2 linked regions of the Mytilus edulis genome follow. The protein of the gene in region 1 interacts with the protein of each later gene in a pairwise test. Links are inferred from orthologs where the notes say so. Each region holds a gene or a part of one and is shown on either strand. Other genes may lie near its edges.

The links. The genes of interacting proteins can lie anywhere in the genome.
Region 2: the proteins of myotubularin-related protein 9-like (region 1) and serine/threonine-protein kinase mos-like interact in binary tests that used the Homo sapiens proteins (3 or more experiments, as listed by UniProt). The link is inferred for Mytilus edulis from reciprocal best matches to the Homo sapiens genes MTMR9 and MOS.

What each region holds. Positions count from the first base shown.
Region 1 is NC_092355.1:76,962,181-76,971,196, forward strand, and holds the start of myotubularin-related protein 9-like, read right to left. Parts: upstream 3,889-9,016; 5' UTR 3,764-3,888; intron 114-3,763; exon of another isoform or gene 1-113. Other genes in the region: zinc finger C2HC domain-containing protein 1A-like, read left to right, coding at 4,068-4,083. UniProt on the Homo sapiens protein: Acts as an adapter for myotubularin-related phosphatases. Increases lipid phosphatase MTMR6 catalytic activity, specifically towards phosphatidylinositol 3,5-bisphosphate and MTMR6 binding affinity for phosphorylated phosphatidylinositols.
Region 2 is NC_092344.1:114,466,951-114,475,462, forward strand, and holds serine/threonine-protein kinase mos-like, read right to left. Parts: upstream 3,181-8,512; 5' UTR 3,105-3,180; coding exon 2,037-3,104; 3' UTR 1,318-2,036; coding exon of another isoform or gene 1,302-1,317; 3' UTR 1,135-1,301; coding exon of another isoform or gene 1,107-1,134; 3' UTR 1,070-1,106; downstream 1-1,069. Other genes in the region: NF-kappa-B-activating protein-like, read right to left, coding at 1,107-1,134.

The sequences.
Region 1 (9,016 bases):
AATAAAAAAAAGCAGTGTGTTTTAGAAAGATGTTCCACTATTACCAAAACAACAAAAATATTCATTGTTTGACTGAGAGATAAAAATGTAAATAAAGAGTACTAGACACTTAATTTTCTTTTTCTATTCAATTTTTTTAGTAGCTATATACAGCTATATTACCAAGCTCCAATTAGACCTATATTTATTTAACCCTGTTTCCAAATTATTTGAAATCTTTGGTAATCTTATTCAATTAGGTGGTCCTGAGATATTGGTCTATGTATCTAGTGCTGACAGTTCTTGTTGTTTTTTTTGTTTGACTTTTAAAATACATGGTCCTAGACTCTTTGCTATAGGAATAAGGATATGCAAATAATACCGTATTGATGTAGATATCCCTGTCACATTGATCATTATGGTGTCTTTAAAGGTAGTGTTGTTTGTTGGTGTATAATCAGGATCCCAACACATCTAACAAGAATGTGTCCTCAGTACACGAATGCCCCACTGTTCAGTGGACCATGACATTGGGATAAAAACTCTAATTTGGCATTAAAATTAGAAAGATCATATCATAGGGAACATGTGTACTAATTTTGAAGTTGATTGGACTTCAACTTCATCAAAAACTACCTTGACCAAAAACTTTAACCTGAAGCGGGACAGACGAACGGACGCACAGACCAGAAAACATAATGCCCCTCTACTGTAGTAGGTGGGGCATAAAAATGCAAGTGATAAACAAATAAAACTCAATATGACCAAAAGCAAACAGAGTTTCAAACTACTTACTTAGAACAAAGTCATACAGAATGAGAATGTGGTGGGCTTACACATACTGTACATGCAAATTCTCCTGTAACTTGTGACGGTGTAACAGCTTAACATTTAAGAACAAACAGTTGAACACAGAAATATGAAAATATGTGGTAAGATTGCTAATGATTGAAAAAGACAACTCTCAACCAGAGACCAAATGCATCTACTGAAAAATAACTCATAAATTGTGTCCCTGCATGTAAAAGGTCTCTAGTCAATAAACCCTGAACATGGGCTGGTCTAAAAAAAAACTCCATGACTTTTAGTATAAGATGTGCTTCAGTAAATACAACCCGATGCATATCTAGAATTTGTAAAAGTGGTTTGTGGAGGGGTCCCAAAGCTAGACGAATTTATGAGTGAAACCTGCAAAAATCTTGACTGACCCTAAATGAAGCTTAATGAGAGGGGTGCGAGCACCCTAACTACCAAGTTTTATCCAGCTTCTGACAACTGCATTCCAAATATTATGGACATACGATTTATGGTTACATTGCTGACTGCAGCTTACGGTTCATACCTAGCTGTTTCTTTTGTCACAGCTTCTAATCGTCATAGTTAAAAAAAATCATCAAAGATCTGCAATCCAGATTTTTAAATATGCAAATTATAGAATTAAGCAGACAATATATATCAACCAAATTTGTCACTATAAATTGGGTTAGATCCGCCTATCCTGATTCAGTGAACAATACTTAAGATAAAGAAGCCAACTTGCATAAAAACTATATATATTTCTGGATCCGCCATTGAACCAGGGGCGGATTTACGTGGGGGCGTGGCGGGCGTACGCCCCCCCCCCTAAAATTTGCAAAGTATGGGTTGTCTTCAACTTGTTTCAGTATCAGAAGAGACCATTCCTTCTTAACATTCAAAGTATATAAAACAGTCAGTTTAACCAGGGACTTTCTATACTAAGTAACAGAATCAACTGACCTACAATTTATTCAAGTTCTATAAATATTATATACTTCAAAGGAAGGTGTCTGATTGAAAAATGAAAAACATGTTTAAGCTGTTAAATTACAAACAATTGTTACTTTGTTTTTGCCGTTTTATAATCAATTTCTTTGATAATCGAAGTGGCGAATTATGTATACCGTAAATACGTGCATGGCCGTATCCCCACAAAATAAAAATAACTTCGTAAATGTATCTCATTCTGATTTTAGTGGTTTGTGGCGAACACAGTATATGTATATATTAAGTCTGGCACGACCTCCGAAAATCCAAAAAGTTAAAACATATAATTAAAGGACAATTGGAAATCACCGCGAAAAGTGGAAATTTTCGTTTGCGAAATCTAATACTAGTATCTAGTATTGGTCATGTGAGCTGATGTGATCTATCTTGTCTCACTTTGCTTCCGTCGATCCACCCGTCTATCTGTCAACTCTTTACATTTCCATCGTCCTAACCAAGTTTGTCGATGATTGTGTTATGGAGTGTTAAAGTAATTCTTAAGTGAACCGGTTTCATTTCACATAATTTACACCATGTTGAATGGCTAAGTGACATTGACGATCTGCAAACAAGGGCTTCCTGTTTTTGTGATGTTTCTGTTTATCACAATTACCAGCACCAATGTCTTTCAGGGATATTTATGACCTTATATTGATTATTTTAGAAGTGCTGGTGTCTTCAGTGTAGATTGGTCTGCACACTCAGTTTGCATAGGAACACAGAATCAAAATAAATTGTTCGCATGATCTTCAGCTTCTGTTTTGGGTTGCAGCTTTATAAACTCTATCATATATATGCAGAATGAATCTCTTACATGTAGTACGTAAGTTATTGGTGTTAGGAGTTTGTTGAAGATTTTTCAAGTTTGTAAGAGACCTTGTCATCATAACTGAGAGGTTTTTCGCGGAACAGGAACATATATTGTTTTACATCTGTCCGTCCATGATACTATAGTGATTGTAAATTGTTGTCAGGTTGGATTTAGGTGGTTTCTACTTGAAACTTTAATTTCTTGCTGACTGTACCTCACAATAGTTCGAAATACCTACATTGCACCCCTTTAGAAGAATATTTTTAAAAAAATAACCTCAAAAATTTTTGCCTCGCTCCGCTTTTTTTTTGTTATTTACAAATCTTTAAAAATTGTAACTCAGTTGAAGCAAATCAATGCTTACACGAGGATACCGCAAGTGTTATACATGATATCCAAAAATCAAAATTATGCAAGTGAAAGCACCGATAGTTTTTCCTCCGGTGAAAAAATGCGTACTGGATTTGTTACTGACAGAATTAAACTGGTTTAAAAAAAACATTTTATGTAAATTTCTTGCTGAAATATAAATTCATTTTCAATTACTTTTACTCAGTAATGAAATTTGTATATCGGTAGACCAATTTAAACGAATAAAACAAATTTAAATTATTTTTTCAAGTATTCCCCCCTCCCCCTTTTCTATAGTTTTCATAATACACGTAGAAAACACTTTGATTGAGTACATTCGTGTGCTAAGACGTGTTTGTTATCATATTTTGGGAGTGTAGAAGAAGACCCCAAATAACCGGTCAAGGGTTCATACACTTATCAAAATAAAAACACGAAAAAACTTTAAGCCAATCGAACTAGCAGGATAATTTATCGGTATGTTCGGACTGTATTCTTATTTGTTATGTAAAATCTACATATTTCCGAAATAAAGCCGCCATTGTCTGATTATCATCTGAAGCGAGTTAGGCTCCCCTCTCTATGATTTCCCCTGCCCAGAGGTTTTGCGTGCAAGATGGCTGTCATAGTCCTTAAAAAACTTAAAGGGGGCTTTTAAATGCATTTCAATGTTGTTTTTGTGATTCTTCATACTTTCAAAAGCCTATTTAAACTTAAAGTCATGATAAAATTCATTGTTTTGTTTAAAATAGTGGACAAAATTGCTCTTGTAAAATTTCTCTTTGGGAACCCGCAAGTAGTGACAGTTGGCAGGTATGACTTGTTTTGTAAATATACCTAGATTTAGATATAAAGTCAGCTTCTGGTTTCTGTATTCTGTATTCTGTAGGTGTCGCTGGTTTCGTGCTGAAAATTTATCATAATTTTTTAGACCGGAAGTTGCAGACAACTCTTTTATTTCCGAGGCAAATACGAGTACAAAAAATATATAATTTAAATCAACACAATTTCATTTTTTTTTATTTTCAAATAAAGGAAAATAAACTGCCTTTTTTAAAATTTCAAAAAACATTTTTGTTATACCCTCAAAGAGTGAAAGAATTTAATTTGCTGCTGAATAGTGTCGCTGGATATTTGGAAGATGGCGGATTACGATGGTAAACAACTTGGTTGCTGACCAAAATATTGCTGTATTTTTCATATTGACATTAGCTTGTCGAAGTCATGTTAAAGCTTCACTGCAACAATAATTCATCTTTCACATAAAATTTAGTTTTAGATTACCAGACAACCAACAAAATGTTTATTTTTTAACTTTGAAAATAAGTTTTAACAACTGCCGTGAGCTGGTGAGTGGCACAGGCACTTGTTTCTATCCAAGTGGGTCTTCCCATGGATAGAAACAAGTGCCTTTGGTGAGAGGGCCTGCTTTCGCTGCTGGATAACTCGGACTAAAACAAAGTCGGACTATAACAAAATCGGACTATAACTCGGACTATAACAAACTCGGCCTACCATTATTTATATGCAGAAATATATTGAACAAACTCGGACTACAGTACGATTAGAAGATTGTAATAAAAAATACTTATATATTAAAATAATATACGAATTTATGAGATTATCATGAATATTTTTGTAAAAAAAAAATCGTATATAGAAATGATTAATATTTGTTATATGAGTTGAATTAGATATGTTTAAATGAGGAGGATCTCCTGGCCTAACGGTCATAAAACTTTCGAGCATGATTTTTGAACTCAGACTCGAAAATCAACCAATCAAATTGCTGGATTTCATGTTTCGAGCACGATTTTTGTGCTCCAAGCACTGAGCAAAGTTTTATGCCTTCAAGGCCAGTAGTTGGTGATCGCAATACTGGTATACCAGTATTGTCCACAATACTGGTATACCAGTATTGTCCACAATACTGGTATAAAAATTTTGTACCAGTATTGTAACTTTTTATTAAAAAAAAACAGCAATACTGGTACATTACTGATATACCAGTATTGTAGTTGTATTGTTGACTAGACTATATTGAAGATCAAAGGGAGATTAAATGAACTCAAAAAGATTATAGAGGATAATTGTGAAATCAATAATTATTTAACAACCAGTTAAAAGTCATTACTATACTTGCACAAATAAACAAAAGATTATTGAAATTAACTCATATCATCATTATTATTTAAACAATTGCTAATAATTTTATATTATTTAAAATTTATTATATAAAAGCTTATTATTATCTGAGTAATAATATAATAAATTCAAGCAAATTATTAGACTCTAACACTGTAAATTCATCATTTACATGTATGCCATCACATATTTTGACAAACATTTTAATACATGTATACATTTTTTGTGTACTAAGATCATATGCATTTGTTTGTCTTTATTTTCTTATTAATCTTTCACAACAAAAGATATCAATATTATTCATTAATAATAAAAAGTTGCTTTATAGGGGAACCTTGTTATAATCAAATTAAATAGTTTGTCTACATGAATGTTAAGGGTTGAAGCAGTTGATTCAGAACCATGGACAATACAATTAGTAGCAGGTACATATATATCTACTGGTACAAATACTAGACCAGCATTCTGACAGTAAGAGAGCTGTACAAATGCTATTTGAAATAGCTTGTAATCTAGTAAGCTTTAGAGAAAGTCCACAGAGACTGAATATAGGAGGGGGGAGGGGTTGCAGAAATCACATCTGAAGAAGAAATAGACAATACCAATGCTGATGATACAGAAGCTATAACAGCATTAATGTCAATATAAAATTCACTAAAATATACTACATGAATCTTGGAAAGATAGAAGAAAGTACAGAGTTTGTTAAAATGCTGAGACAGAATGGTTAAGAAAAAAACATCAGAAGATTTAAAACTTTATTTGATGACAATCACAGAGTACCATCTATGGCATCATCAGTTAAACACAATCATTCCTGATAAAATTGTCATGTCATATGTTAATTTCATTATGCATATATGTGACACCTTTAATAAAAGATTAATTACCTATATTGTTTATTTAAAAAAAGCACAATACTGGTACAATACTGGAATACAATACTGGTACAAAATTTTTATACCAGTATTGTGGACAATACTGGTATACCAGTATTGCGATCACCAACTACAGGAGATCCAATGAGGATAATTAACTTACATTGGAATGTTATTGTGATTTATGATGTTTATTGACAATTGCAAAAGATATTTTAATGAGTGGCGTGTGTTCGTGTTTTTATTGTGTTTAATCCTTGGTGTTTATGATTATAGTAAATAAACACAGAGAAATTTGATTGACAGTGAATGGCTTCATAACAATTTCACTATTTCAAAATATGATCAAAAACCAGAAATGCTACAATTCACTGAATTGTCTTATAATAATTAACACAAAATTTATAATAATAAAAAAAAACCTGAAGTCCAGTCATAGCCAATACAAGACAAGACACATTTAATTGGATATTTAGTACCAAATTTCCTGTAATAACAGATAGATTTGTCCTGACTTGGGTGATAAGATAGGTGTCAACAGTACATGTGCCAGTTGTTTGTTTAACCTATGATGATTAAAAAAGGTATCAACGATACACGTGGCATGATGTCATAATCAATTAAGATATGCATATAATAAAAACATATTCTGAGAGGGACATTATTACAAATAATAATACTGAAAAGACAAATCAGTGGAAATTTTCATAAATGAATTTCAAAAAGATTTATTTTTGTACTTTTATTTTAAAAATATCTTGTTAACTTATTTTTTTATCCCCTTCAAAAAAGTTCAATTATTTAATTAATTGAAGATAAAAATTCATTTAAATTAAGAATTGAAAATTAATTTCGAATAACAACAACAACCAACATTATACTTATATTCTTCTAGTAGTCCGAGTTTGGTATAGTCCGACTTTGTTATAGTCCGATTTTGGGAAGCCGAGTTTCTTATAGGCCGAGTTTGTTATAGTCCGATTATGTTATAGGCCGAGATATCATGGATTCCCTACTTTTACTTTAGGGACACCATCAACTTATTTTAATGGCACATTAGTGATATAATTACACCTTATTTAAAAAAAAGGCCAGATTTTGATTGGTTGGTAGCCGGTGTATTTTTCACATATATTATTCTATCTATATATCTGGTTTTCCTCATTTCAAACGAATTAGCCTGTTTTTTACAACTATTACTGGTATCAGTGAAAATGCCATGGTATCGGCCATTTTGGATACTCATTTAATACACATTATCGCTAATTCTGGCTGACCCAGCCGCTTGAACTTTTGACACATACAACAATCACTTTCCATTGTGTCATCAGATTTTTAAAGCAATTGCTTTCATGCCGTCGCGTATGGCCATCTTTGTGACCCAGATCAGAGACTCCGCCCAGATCAAGCCATAGTATTTTGTTAAACAGGCTCCTGGTCTGTCATTCTTAAACACCTATGTATGTTTTCTAATGCAATACATAGCTTGAAACTTTTGAAAAACGTTAGTGGATTTAAGAAGTTTCAGCATACGTTCTTGTAGATATATTTTTGTATTTAGGGGGACAACCGTTTGACTATCAAAAAACATAGACGTCCGAGTGAAAAAAAATGCATTTTTATACCTGCGATTCCGTTTTCCGTTCGTACGATGTTTCAACAAAATATGGAATCATTTCAGTTGTTGATTTAGTATTGAAAATTTGACTGAATTATCTTTTATAATATACGGTTTTATATGTTTAATTGGTGTTTTTTTAAGAAAGAGGTCAGGTGCTCTTGTTCATTCATAAAATTGTCGTTCATTCATAAATTTATCGTAAAATCAAAATCACTACACAGGTTATCAGGTTATACGTAGTGTCAAATGATTACCTGTAATCTAAAAATAGACAAAGTTAACTGACCTATTTTGTTGATTTGTTTGCGCAAATAATTTAGAGGAACGAAACCCTTGTTAAAAACACATAACAATAAGTTTGTTTTCCTTTTTTGTCATAACTCCGTAAGATTTATCGATCACCTTACTAATGAAATGGACCCGTCCAAATGTGATAGATGCCAAGTCCAGATGAAGAGATATTTACAATTTGGAATTTTCTAGTTTCATAGATTAAAAAAAGTACATCCTTTTTGGATATCATATTCAAAACTGGGTATGCATGACAAATGATGAAACCATTATCCTTGTCTTTCCAATGGACGAGTCTACTACGTTTGTTGACCCTCGACGGTCCACCGTGTTTGCAATTATATTTCACATGTTTTCGAAATATTGAAGATCATTTTCACAATGTTTCCTGAAAATTGGATAGATATCAAAGCAACTTAGAGCTGTTTGTTCGTGTTCGTATAATGACGATTTAATGTCATGTTTGTCTGTGATGGCCCCTCTTTTCGGGATTGCATGAGAATTATAGTTATCTCGTACAGCATGAGGATGACACATATCAACTGAGCAATAACGTTTGGGACTTAGTTTTTAAGAAATGATGACAAAGTAACATTATGAAAATATTTTTAGTCAGCTTAAATATATATTTATTTTTTACATGTTTATGTCTTGTAAAATATTTTGTTTCTTTCCCGTTTTTCAACATTTGCGTCTGGAAAGTTGAAATGTTTTAACTGAAGTGTAAAATTTAAATTAATTATGAAAATTAAATCAATAAAGGAAATTATTGCCCAGTTACAAACACTACTAGGGGATAATCCATAATAATTTCTCTTGGAGTTATATGTTTCAGCACATGTATATCTGACCCCAACTTTAGCCTGGTAAACGTGTTGTCTCCTTGTGAAATATAAAACATATTAAAAATGACTTTCTGCTTAAGTCTTTAATTGATATAAAGTTAAAACCTTCTTAATTCTCACTAGACAACACTCCTGTCATGTTTAATTCTTAAATATATGTGGATGAAAAAAAAGTCCCCAAAACATAAACATGGCAGCAATTGGCTTTGATTTATTTTATGACATCAAAATTTTATGGCAACCTGTGTGGTATCCAGCTGTAATAGCGGACAAATAGTGATAATTGAGGTGTAAATGAGGCAGGCAATAC
Region 2 (8,512 bases), on another chromosome or scaffold:
TTCAAATCTTTTGATTACATTAATTTGTTGTTAAAGCTAAACACTGTTGACGTCAGAAACTATTTTTCATGAAAAATTAGTTAAAGTGCTGATATATCACTTTAAATTCATCATGCTGTGCATTGACAAAATCCAATTTTGTCCGGTATAGATCCAGTCTACAATTGACAAAAGGAAGTAATTTGTTTTAAAAGTGTGTAATAACAGAATCAAATCGGTAATTAGCAAATGAATTATTGTTATAGATTCATCTGAAAATTTCAGGGCTGATAGAACTTGACCAAAGGAACGTTTTTACTCCATGGGAGTTTCGCTCTAGTTTTTGAGATAAATATTATATATATAAACCAAAAACTGCACTTTACCACTCTGTTCTAATTTAAGCCATGGGGGCCATGTTTTTTTACACAACAGAAAATAAAACCCAAATATAATTCTAGATACCCTAAGAATCATCCAGCTTAAGTTTGGTTGTAATTGTTTCTGTAGTTTCAAAGAAGCTGCTTGATATATTTTACATCCAAAGGACAACGATGGACAACAACGGATGATGACTGAAGCCAAGTCAAGTGATGGCAAAGGCTCACATTTCCTCTAAAAGGGGAGCTTAAAATAAAGTCAAAGTCAGAGACATGTTCAACTTACAATCATTACATACACCAAGTTCAGTGGCCCTATTGATTATAGTATCCGAGAGAATATTTATGATTCTAATAGTGATGCTGTCTGACCATTATGACTGGAGTGCCCCCCCCCCCCCCCCCCTTTAGGTCAGTAAGCGGGCCCCCTTAGTATCAATGCAAAGTATATATTGGTTTAGAGGTTCATGCATTCATCAAAAGGCAGCAACCATTTGATTTTCTGGGGGGGGCTATGGTTTTTTTTTCTGTGCAAACTTTTTTTTTCGCCTTCGGCGCAGAACAATCTATTTTTTTAGCGACAAACCAAAACCTGGAAACAAACTTTTTTTTCCAAAAAAAAACCATAGCCCCCCCCCCCCCCCAGAAAATCAAATGGTTGCTGCCTAACACACATTGACACAAGAAGAATATTAATAAAATACAAATAATAAAATGTCTGAGGAACTTTAATGTTACATTTTTTACCATACAATCGACAATGTTGACAATTCATGGTTCATCGGTATTTTTGTTTATCCAGCTAATATAAAGGGAAATAATAAATGTAAGCACTTGCAATTAAAAAATAAAATATACAGGTCAAACCTTATCTATCTAAAATTCGTGTTATACAATATATTCTCTCTTTATCATGTACAATGCATTAAATGTGTTGCATACCTGTGTTTCTCTCCATGTAAATAGTTGCAATACCAAATCCTTGACCTAATCAATAAATACTCTAGAGAAGCACCGAATAAAATCGCGGGAAATCACAAATCATGAAATGTAAAATACTTGAGTTATGTGTTCGATGCAAGGTCACGGTGGTTGCAAATGTTTTTTTTACATCTCAAAATAAATGTCATGTCATGTCATGTCATGTGTTGTTGACTAAAATGCGCGTTCAGTATTCAAGACGTAGTTTCGGTTTCACATATTATTTAAAATTATAAAGATTGACCGGGAGATCGCACTTCACAATGAATTTACCCTCGGGTCTTGGATTCAATACCAAACTTTAATAGTTCACGAGTAGTTTTTTTTTAAAGGAAAACAAATGTAAAAACAACTGTTCTCAAAATAAAAATAACAAATGTAAAATAACGAGAACAAATGTAAATAATATTCTGTACATAAAACAGGATAACAATTGTAAAAAAAACTAATGTAAAAAATAAGCTATACACTGTACAATGTCTATCAAAGCCATAAAATCAGGCTGACAAAAATAAATCAACAGAAAATACATTGAGATGTGTATGTAAAGACACCTCTCAGGCAAAAATTATCAAATGAATATTTACACAAATTGACATTAAAATACTAAATCTTGTTTCTATTGGCATACAAATCATTTATCAATAAATTGCTATTTGGTTTGTTTTAAGTAAAATATTCTTTTTTCACAACACTTTACATGTAACCTCTCCATATGTTCAACAATTCCGCAATTTCCCCAGCTGTTGGTCGGTCTAAGGCACATGGTAGCCAACACTGTGAATACAAGTCTCTATACGATTCCTCAAACGGATCAACATCAATTTCTGGATGCTTAGGTCTCTGTCCATATGCTACCACGCCAAAAATAACTACGTGCTGGTTTTCGTTACTAAACGGGGTCTGTCGACTCAACAACTGCCACATTATGACAGCTAATGCATAAATATCTGCCCTTTTAGACGGAGCTTCACCTTTTAATAGTTCTGGAGCTCTGTAAGCAAAAGTACCTGTCAAAATGGATCTTTGTGTTGGACTGACAATCCCCGTGTCAATCTCCACTTTTTGAGAGCAACCAAAGTCTGCAACTTTGCATCGACCATCTGGCGTTATGAGAATGTTTGCTGGTTTTAAATCCAGATGAACAATTTTCATGTCATGTGCATACTTTAGAGCTTCGGCAATCTGCTGGGAAAATTTGACCCTGCGGCATGGCCCAAGGGAAATGGAATCGTCATCTATAAGGCTTTGTAATGTCCGATGTCCAGCATACTCCATAACAATCCAAGCACCTTGATCAAAAACATCCAAAGATGTAGCTGTGATAGTTTTGACAATGTTTTCATGGTCGAATCCTATCGTATTTAACTCAGCCTTGAAGCTTTCCAGCTGTGCCGCAGGATTTTTCGTTACTCTGTGCATTACTTTGACGGCCACAGTTGAATCTTTGTATTTACCTCTGTAAACTGATCCGAATCCACCTGTGCCAAGCAAGCGTCCAAGAACAACTTCTTCCTTCTTAAGGGATGTATTTCTGTGTCTGCTGCTAACGATAGCGTGGGGACGTTTGAATTCATCTCTCTTCTTTTCTTTATGTGCCAAAACAGGCATTACAATCCTCTTAGCAAACTGTCCCAACTTCTTACGGAAAAGTTTGTATTTCCGTAAAATATGCTGGCATTGGTTAAGTCCTTTCAGTGAACTTGAAGAATATTTTTTGTCTTTAACAACACTACACAAATTCTGTTTACTTTTTATCTGCATTTTGGATATATCCACCTTACTATGACAATCATTATATAAACTATAACACTATACTATTCAGGTTGAAAACTGTTCACATATGAGGTCAAGGTTCATAATCAACTGTTTTGTGATTCAAAGCTGTGACTATTATACTAACAATACAGTTTGAAATGATAGAAGGAAATTAAAAAAAAAAGTTTCCGTGAATATCTTTTCTTATTATTTTATCACGTAAAATACAAAAGCTTTTCTGGTAAATATTTCTTTTGGAAAAAAATGTTACAAATGATCTAAATACTTTAAATTGTGAGAATTGGCAACAAAAATTATAAAAAAAACTTGAGTGTTTGAAAAGTTTTCGGGAACAATTTGAAAGATATAAAGATGTTGTTGATTTTATGTTATTCGTTAAAACAATATCATAACTAAATTGTTGTTTAAATCTTTCAAACAATGCAAAAACAAAACAAGTGATACATCCATATACATAAGAATTAGGACAAAACAGCGCTGGTAGTTTTTTCCTGTAACTAATATGAAACATAGTCAAACCACGGAAGTTCCATGGTCAAACCGCCCCGGTGGGTAAGTTGTAGCGCGTTCGTCTCGAGTGAGGGATAGTGTCCTGGGTTCGAAGCCCTAACGGGTGAATCCAAAGATCTTAAAATTGGTATTAGCTGCATCTCCGCTAAGCACGCGGCATTGACTTGAGAAAAAAAAAGATGTAGATGTGGTATAATTGCTATAGACAACTCTCCACAAGAGACCAACTGACACAAAATACAGTAGAATTCTTGGATAGTTTGTTTGTTAGCTGAGCTTTGAAGTCATTATTAGTTCAGATATGTTACCCTCCTTTCAAAGTAGTCTAGTCTTACTAGTCTCTGTCGCTGGTTGGTTGGCGATATTGGAGATGGCATGCCTTCCTGTGGTTGAACGGACTGATGACGATATTCGTTTTGATAACGATCCCCTAATTTCCCCCTTGTTATTTTGTGGGTATTATCTCCCTGCTGCCCTCTAGTGATGGTATGGCTTCTTCTGCTGTTTCTGGTCTACCCTGGTGGTTTGACCTCAGCTGATGTTGCAGCAGAGCTTTTGGCCTGCACCCACTGGTCGTAACGCTTGGCGTCCCTTCTCCTGGTTTGTTCTTTTTTAGAGCCGGCTTGGATTTACTGGAGAATGCCTCTGGTTCCTTAGCCTTGTTCCATGTCAACTGTACGGTCACCTGGTCAGTACTTGCCGAAAACTTCCAATCAGGTTCTTTACCAGACAACTTCATGGCTGCTAACTTTAGCGTTCAATTCATCAGGGATTTCCATAATAATTTGTCCAAGAAGTGAGTCGTGTTGTGAGCTGCGATCAGTAGAGTACATGAAAACGAAGAAAGAAGATTGGTTATCTGTCGGACTAGTCTACTCTTAAAGGACACCCTAATAATGATCACAATGCACACACAAGCTGATGATCACACAGTAACCACAAGCTGATGATTATAAGGCAACAACAAGCTCATAGTAACAAGGTATCCACAATCTAATGATCACTATGTAATGAGGGGGGGGGGGGCAAGGGGGGTCCCCATAACAGCAAAACAGTGATTTGATTTGGTGAAAAACAGATAACAAGGAATTGGAAAGGGATAATAACAGATAACAGTAAATGAAATATGAAAATAAATCTGCCCAGGACCAATCCAGCAGATGACTCGTAGATCTTAGTATATAAATTGTGGTATGGACCTAGAAAATTGTAATTTGTGTAAACAAGACGTTTCGGCCATTGAGGCAGTTCTGCCTTGGTTGATTTTTTTTCTGTAACTTGTACAATAAGTTATAGTATGATTGTTGAATTTTTCTGAACGAAATGACTAGTTTCTGTTTTTGATATAGGGATATTTTTAATCTAGGGAATTTGAGGGATCAATTGTTAAAGATTTAGGTTTTTTTATTTAATTTTTGAAAATAGTAGTGCAGCCAGTGACACTTTATTGTCAATTTGATTTTTAGATTTTTTTCTTCTGAAAAGCAATACTTTACAAGTAATAAAAAAAAAAAATTGATGCACAATATATTTTTTTTATTTAATGACCTCCTGATAAAACTTACTTATAAAATACAAAAATACCCAGATCAGTTGAGACAGGACATGTAACTGAAACACGCATGCCAGTTATGGTTCTTCTGATAATAGAAATTGCCTCAAGTGACAATTCTGATAGTATAATAGAATGTGGACCTAGTGAAAATTTGGATGACACCAAGTGAAACACCAATCATGCATCTTGTGTAAAATTATAGAATATGGAAAATTTGGGTACAGCATGGGAGAAGCTGTAGGATTTTTAAAAAGGGTAAATTTATCGAAAAATTAAACTGAAGACACATCTTTATTTGCATCAATGGTTTCAGAGCTTCAATTTTCGCCATGTGAAGCAGTTAAAAAACTTTTAAAAATATGCTGGTCAGGGTTCTCTTTCATGTAAATGAAAAGAGAGGGAGTAGCACTTATAATATAAATGCTAAAAGAAAAAGATGTTGTATAATTTCAAAAGCCATAATTCAAACCCATACCACTTAGTAATGTAAAATAATTCAAAGGATAAAAACTAACTGCCTTATTTATCCACAAAATAGTGAACGAGAAACTTAGTAACACAGTAACAAACTACAACCACTGAATCCAGGCTCCTGACTTGGAAGTAGGCACATACAGAATGTGATTGCGTCAACGTTACCATGCTATAGGTGGTGTCCAATCCTCCCCTAATCAGGGACAGTGGTGTAACAGTACATCATAAAGATTATTATGTGGTCATTGAATAAAAATAATCTATAGGGTGTACCAATGCTTTTTTTATAACAAAATCCATACTATAAGTTATTGTACAAGTTATACGTGAATTATAATAATTTGTACGAAATGCTACATGTTCATAGACAATGGACACGGGTGTCATTCGGTTTATCGAGAGAAATGGTCGTGAAAGAATATCTAACGACGGTCAAGTATTGAGAGACGATCGTGAAAGTTCTGGTAACGGATCGTGAAAGACATTTAATGAAAATTTTAGGTCAGAATCTTTTAAAAAATCGCTTAATTTTCAAAACGCGGAACAAATCCGAACAAAAAAATATGTCTGTCAAAATGGTTTAACTTCCTCAACATATCTGTGAAATAAGATAAAGAATATATGCAGTACTTTATGAAAAAACACAAAAGGCGCAATGCATGTCTATGAAATTAATTACAAATAACACGCTTTTTGTACCTATAATGGTCATATTTCAGTTTATCGTGATATATTTGAAATTTAATCTTTGGTGTATATGATAGTACAGCAAAATTAAGGTATGTTCTTCCCTTAAAAGCATTAATTTGTATATGAAAACCTTGAATTTGTTGAATATCCATCAAACTTGATCGTGAAAGATCAGGCAACGCATTATTTTGATCGTGAAAGATAATGCGTGACCAGACTTATTACTAGTAATCAGAAATCAGTATTTTTTTTTACCATTTGATAAACCTGCAACTGGTTGAAGCCTGTAACTATTTTGATAAGGAAGAAAATTAAAGCTATTATATTTTTCTATTCAACACTTTACCTCGAAAGTTAAAAAACAAAACAACTAAAAACGTGTCTAAATAAGTTTGAAAGATTCAGCTCTGAGAATCGGTCAAGTGCAATTCAGGCAGACCGACACTATTTAGCCAATAATATGGATATGCAACGTTTAAACCAAAATGATATCCATCAAACAAAAACTTTCAGCAAAACAGCATCTTTCATGAGTAATTTGAGTAAATCTCGTCTGCTTTAGTTATGATAGTAATTCTTTTGAACGTCTATAATATCAAGGGTTTTAATAGAAGTGTCAAATGCGCTTAATGTGCTTAATGTATTTTTGTCCATCTGATGAGTTAAGCCTTTTCAATTGATTTTTATAGTTCATTCTTATGTTGTACTGTTATACCACTGTCTCAGATTAGGGGGTGGGTTGGGATCCCGCTAACATGTTTAACCCCGCCAACATGTTTAACCCCGCCACATTATCTATATACAAATAAGGCCGTTAGTATTCTCGTTTGAATTGTTTTCCATAGTCATATCGGGGCCTTTTATAGCTGACTATGCGGTATGGGCTTTGCTCATTGTTGAAGGCCGTACGGTGACCTATAGTTGTTAATGTCTGTGTCATTTTGGTCTCTTGTGGATAGTAGTCTCTTTGGCAATCATACTATATCTTCTTTTTTTAAAATTAGGATTGTAAATGGTTCATAAAAAGAGTGCAAGAACAGATGAACCATGACATACAGATCTCTACAAATATCCCGTAGACCAAATATATGTGTTCCGATCCTTACAATGCCTTAGAAAATGACAAATGTAAAAGTGATGCTTGGCCAATTGATTTGGAACATAAGGTCAAAAGTATATGAACCCTGACCGACAGCCAGACATAGACATCTTACTATCATTCAATATATCAAATACAATTGACGTCATCATGGTCATATATGAAACATTCAGACAGACATGTACACCATACACGAAATACCATGGCGCTATAGCAAACAGGTATATATCCAAAAGGCTAACCAACATAAAACGAACATTGCCGAATGATGCATGATAATGAGCTCGATGTTATATAAACCTTGCAGAAGTCTGCAAATGTACACCTTACAATCATAACAACAGACATTTATCCTAAAGCTTAACGAATCCGCGATACGGACTGAATCTTCATCCATGAAATGAGGCAAATTCGGGGTCAGGTGAATCCTGAATGACGGACATCAGGGGCGGATCCAGGAATTTAGATAGAGGGGGGGGGGGGCGAAGTTTTAAATTTGTTGGACCTTTTTTGGACTATAAAAAAAAAATAAGTGTAAAATGCACTTTTTAAACGGTTCCTGACGTGGGGCATGTATATTCTATAGTTGCTGTAAAGTGTAAGGGTTGGACATTTTTATGCTGTATTCTCCCTATTGATTGTCTATAATAAAATGATAATATGGATCCAAAGCTATGTACTGATATATTTGATGTGGGATGTTGTAAACAAGAAATACGCCGAACTATTCGATGAAATTTACCATACGAGAGTTAAAAAAGTCAAACAACCAATTTTTATCTAAATGTTTGGTTGATATATTTCACTCAATAAAATCAAGGGAGGTGAGGGGTTCCAAAATCAACCAAAGGCTACGAATGAGTCTGAAATGACGACGAATTTATGAATGACCGTCGACAAATGGAGACATAAAAGCCACTCTCAGCAGTCAGGTTGCAGTCTTGTCTTGAAAAAAGTATTCAATATATCAGTTCGGCGAAACAGACATTCCGGTCAGACATGCAAACCCCCGACCAAAAAAAAAAAATACGCCTGTTTTTTATACATCATGTTCATTTAATGCTA